2 linked regions of the Kluyveromyces lactis genome follow. The protein of the gene in region 2 purifies or fractionates together with the protein of the main gene of each other region. This does not show direct contact. Links are inferred from orthologs where the notes say so. Each region holds a gene or a part of one and is shown on either strand. Other genes may lie near its edges. The genes, in order: TIM10 and TIM22.

What was found.
Region 1: the proteins of TIM22 (region 2) and TIM10 purify together in Saccharomyces cerevisiae (affinity purification with western blotting; 4 studies listed by BioGRID, with this or other methods). This does not show direct contact. The link is inferred for Kluyveromyces lactis from reciprocal best matches to the Saccharomyces cerevisiae genes TIM22 and TIM10.

What each region holds. Positions count from the first base shown.
Region 1 is NC_006042.1:2,402,793-2,405,335, reverse strand, and holds TIM10 (protein transporter TIM10), read right to left. Parts: upstream 888-2,543; coding exon 618-887; downstream 1-617. Other genes in the region: cytochrome c1 heme lyase CYT2, read left to right, coding at 1-320; SDD2 (Sdd2p), read right to left, coding at 1,319-1,720; RCO1 (Rco1p), read left to right, coding at 2,002-2,543. UniProt on the Saccharomyces cerevisiae protein: Mitochondrial intermembrane chaperone that participates in the import and insertion of multi-pass transmembrane proteins into the mitochondrial inner membrane.
Region 2 is NC_006040.1:726,559-729,375, reverse strand, and holds TIM22 (translocation channel protein TIM22), read right to left. Parts: upstream 1,158-2,817; coding exon 567-1,157; downstream 1-566. Other genes in the region: KAR1 (Kar1p), read left to right, coding at 1-440; SWT21 (Swt21p), read left to right, coding at 1,431-2,666; COP9 signalosome catalytic subunit RRI1, read right to left, coding at 2,650-2,817. UniProt on the Saccharomyces cerevisiae protein: Essential core component of the TIM22 complex, a complex that mediates the import and insertion of multi-pass transmembrane proteins, such as mitochondrial carrier family members, into the mitochondrial inner membrane.

The sequences.
Region 1 (2,543 bases), on a different chromosome or scaffold from region 2:
GGAATTATATCAAAATTTGGGAAGACGGACAAGGGGGAGATGTCTGTGGTGGCATCAAATTGACTAGTTTCAAAGGCGATTCAAAGAAGTTAACCCCAAGAGCATGGTTTAGATCCTCAATCCTTGGAATGACCAAACCTTTTGATAGGCACGATTGGGTCGTCGATCGCTGCGGGAAACAAATAGATTATGTCATCGACTTCTATTCGAATCCAGAACCTGAAAAGAACCACCTTCCTCCAATATATTTGGACGTTAGACCAAAAGTGAATACTTTTGAAGGTTGTAAATTACGCGTTATGAAAATGCTAGGATTTTAAAGACAGAAGGGATCGTCCAAATTTTCAATCCTAAGGGAAGATAATGGACAAAAACACATCACGGTATTAGCAAATACATTTATATCTCTATATTTATCGGTTTGATCGAGATACACAAACCTAATCGTTTGGTACTCCGACATTACCTCATTTTTAAAACTCTGTAAATAGATAATTAATATATATATATAATATATTTGTATATACAAAATTTGTCATATATGTACATGATAAAACGTGAAAAGTTGCGAAAAAGATTATGCACTAACGTCCCGGCTTAAGCTTCCCTCATCGGGTTTAGAATTTACCTGGAGAGAAAGCTTGGCCTAGCTGTTGCATGTTTTCACCAACCTTAACGTTAGTTTCAAAGTACTTGGCAACACATCTGTCGATACAAGTAGATTCGTTCTTGTTTAGTTGACCATCGTTATAAATTTGTTCAATACATTTCTTGTGACAGTTGTCGACCAACTTGTTGAACATGTCAGTAACCAAATCTAGTTCAGCTTCAGCTGCTGATAGCTTTTGTTGAGAAGATAATTGAGGTTGACCGCCTAGACCGAACATTTCTTAGAAGATGATTTTTATATGTTGTTATTGTAGGAGTGGTATTCCTGTGGCTATGAATAGAAGACTAATCACTACGATAAACTACGTCAATAAATATTTACAGATCAAACAACAGTCTAGTTGTCAACGCATTTAACTGCTATTAGTTAAATTTTAGTGAACTGCAATTCCTGACGAATAGTTGCTATACTGAAAATTTTCAGAAATATGAGGAAATATACGTTACCCGGTCACATGCACGTGATTTGGACATGTATTGATTTGACAGAGGGAGCATTGACCTATAGTAGTCATTGAACCTTTGGAACTACCGATTCTTGCAATTATTTGGTACTTATGAGGATTGAGTTCTCATTCGTTGTAATTATATATGCATGTATATCTTACTTTCTTTCTCTGTTAAAACCTGATATATTGAAGACAGATAACTAGTCAAAGAAATCATCGTCTTCATCGTCATCTTGATCCACACTAGATGATGCTGTTCCTTTTTCTCTTCTATCGAATATAATACGTGTAGTATTGCGCTTTTGCTCATCTCTTCCGACTGATTCGAGGATTCCAACGATGTCCTGCTCTGTTAATTTGTTTCTAATAGCACCGGACCGCACCATTTGTAGTAAATAAGCTTCTACTGCCTTTACACGTTCTGGCCGCACCAACGCTACCCTGCTCAATCTTTCTTGTGCATTGGAATCCAAAATCTGATTCAATATCGCTTGTGTTTGACCATCATTCGATCCGTTGTTTGCTGATTCTGATGTTCCTCCACTTTGTTGCTTCAATTCCCTCAATCTGGCCTCTCTAATGGCTCTCAATTCGTCGTCCATGGTTGCTTCTATTATTTTAATGTGACTGGTGACGCCTCAGCCTGTTCCCGTAACTATATACATTTTGATTCCATTATCATTGATATAGCTGGTATGTGTATACGACTTCAACTATCGAAGGTTCGTGATATTGGAATACAGAAAAAAAATAAAAAAGTGCGATACAAATTTAATTGAACGCATCTAACAATTGAATTAAATTATGGTTCAACGCGAAACAACGAGTAGGGGAAAGTACCGGCTAAAAAAATTACGTGCCAGTACATCTACTTTCCGGCTTCATGACAAAAAATATGGAGGTAACGAGGCCCAAACGGTCAGGTACTGCCAATGTGGATTATAATCTGAAAAAGAGACGGATTATTCCAAGTGATGATTATCCAACGAAAAGTACATCCTCAATATCTTCATCACCGTCCCAAGAACCATCGACAGAACCTATTGGACCAGTCATTCTTAAGGATAGTAATGGAAATATAACGTTTCAGGAGCCGCCAGTGCATGATCCAATAAATGCTATGACAGGGACGCCATTATCTCAGAAGCCGAAGGGATCGAGTAACAACAACAGTAACAATAATAATAGTACCAATAACATCAATAATAACGACAATGATGATAGCAATAATAGAAGTGGTAAACACAGAAATGGTAACAATAAGAAGAAGAAATCCAATATATTACAGGCATTAAAGAGCAGCATGGAGGCTAAATATGAGGGACAACTACAAACTGAAAAATCAAATGAATTGACCGTACAAAGTCATGAACGCATAGGAGCGAACACTCCCACTAAACACAACAAAAATTCAGGAATTAAACA
Region 2 (2,817 bases):
ATACCCCAAAGAAGTCAAATACATTTCCAAAACGAAGACAACTGAAAGAGAAGCTTGGTGATCCATTGCCCTTACCTTATCTTGACCCTCAGCAAAAAATGGAAGTTGGTCGTGACCTCGAATCCAGATGGAATACTATAATATCGAACGCAAAGGTACGACAGACTAAAGCAGAGCCTGTGAATAAGGCCAAGAGGGTATTAGAAGCACCGTCTTTTGAAAGTCAAAGAAAAATTTCCCGCAAAGTGTTTCAATCTAGTGAAATAACTACATTGGAATCCCAATTGAAGGACACTAGTGCCAAGCTAGATCGGTTGATCGATATTTTGCAGGACAAAGAAACTTTAATTGGCAAATCAATGACCTATGAACCAGTGATATGGTTAAGTTGTATCATTATTCTCGTACTTTGCAATGTATGGGTGTATCATTACCTATGATAAAGACTGAATTGATATATAAATGCACGTATTTACATGTAAAGTTCATAGATATCATGACCTGGAGTCTATCTAATGTACAAAGAACGGACGCTTAATGCTTAGAGTTTCAAAAATATAAACTGATCATTCATCGAAGTCATCCTTGGGTGGTTTCTTATTCTCGTTTCTCATGTATAAATCAATGGCCGTAGAGAAGGCAGCAAAACCCGCACAACCCACTAATGCTGCCTGAGGTCCACTCTTGTATGCCAAGCCACCGCCTGTCAAACAACCTGCAGCTACACCGTTATATATATCGTTCTTTGCCCTTAACGATTCCACCACACATTCGACACCTGAATAAATCATACCGATGTAACCGAAATTCTTTGCACTGGAGTAGGATCTTTTTCCCATATCACTAAACTGGATCTTTATCTGCTGTTTCAACGGTAGATCTGCAAGCTCTTTCACTTTATTTGGTAAACCTGGAGCATTGGTTGGAGCTGGCGTATGTAGAGGTGTGTCATACGCCATCGATGCCATAAATAAACCGAAAACACCACCTAATGCAAAACCAGTAACACCACTGATGGCAGCTTTTCCAGGACAAGAAGTCATAAACTCCACCATCATTTGGGCACCTTTTTCACCTTGTTCTTCAGGCGAAAGTTGATCAAATGGTTTATTCTCTGGTGGAGAAACTTGGTCTAAACCAAACCCACGATACACCATTTTATTTTAACGTTTCTTACTTCAACAGTAGCTAATCTTCCACAACTATCCAATACTTCACGGTGTCCTTTTACTACTCTGTTCAACGATGTATATATTTATTTCAATATTATTTTCGATGAGCTTTTGATATTAGCTATTCCAAAGCTTTTTTTCTTTCGATAAGAATAAGCTTCAACTCTGTCAATATGTCAATATTGACAGAATGCCTCATCGCATGCACAGAAGGCAGCATTTTAAGCAACTGTATGCGGAATATGAGACCTTTTGATAATGCAAACGATAGCCAGCACATTAGACTGCTACTATGGGACAAATTGTAATTCATTATGGTCTCTCGAAGAAGAATTATCTCGAAAATTTTCAGCATATGCAAAGAATTACGAATTTCCAAAGCTGCATCGTTCGTATTTCCATAGCGTTGAGCGGTATTGTCCTGTGATTTGTTCTCAGCTGACTTGGTCTCATGATGGTACTTCTATTTGCGGCGTTTTTGATGATTTTGGAATACGACAGTATCTTATACCAGAAGATCCACTTGTAGATCATTGGGTTCCTTTCACACGATGGTTTGTGAATGGTTCCATTATTTCCTCTGTCGTCCACCCTAGATACTCACTGTATGAAGAGGATTCAGCATATCAAACTATACTTTGTTCTTCAAGAGATCTGCCCATAAAATTGTACTCATTACGATCGGACAGCATCAATGAAACAAGTTTATACCATTACTCTACTGTTAACGAAGAAAATGAAGCCTTTGAAACGGCTTATTCAATGACAATACTTCAAGACACTATGCATTTCATGACTGGATCTGTTAGAAACAGGATAACTATGTATGATTACAACCGACATAAACCGATATGGCAACATCAGTGGACAAAACAATCATGCGGGAAGTCATCACAGAAGGCTATCGTATCATGCTTTGATGAATATAACGAGGTACATGACAATGTCAGGTTTGCTGGTACTTATAAAACAGAAGTGCTACGAATTGATACTAGAAGTACTAAATCTGAACTAATAAGTGAGCGTGATTCATTGGACTCGTGGTCAAATGGAATCTACCAAGTCATTAAGTCGGATAACGGACATTATTTGTACTGTATTAAACGTAATGCAAGAGAAATCGATGTTATTGATACACGAATGTTAAAATCTAGAATTAATATACTGGAACTTCCATTCAAAATTGGTAAGCAGAAATTCAAGGCATCCTTGAACAGTGCCAAAGGTTTGTTAATTGGATCGTACGATGGTCAGGTTGCATGCTGGGACAAAGATTGCATTGAATTTGGTGGGTTGGACCCACTTCAAACCGCTGGTACTGGAATAAAGCCAACGAATAACATTCTTATTTCAGATGAGAATGTAAGGGTGAATTGCATTGCAACGAATCCTGTTGATCCAAACACCCTCGCTATTTCAACCTCGACTGATAAATTTGCAGATGATGAGGGTATGACATTAAAAACATCTGTGAAGCTTATTCGGATGCATTAAATAGTTGTCTGTAGGTCCTTAACTTTTGATATTGCTTAACCTTCAATAAGAGTAGTTTCTTCTTCTTCAGTTCGTATTCATGCTTTATCTCTGCCTCCTGAAACTGCATGCCAGGTATCACATTGGCCGGTATATCAAGACTACTTTGAGC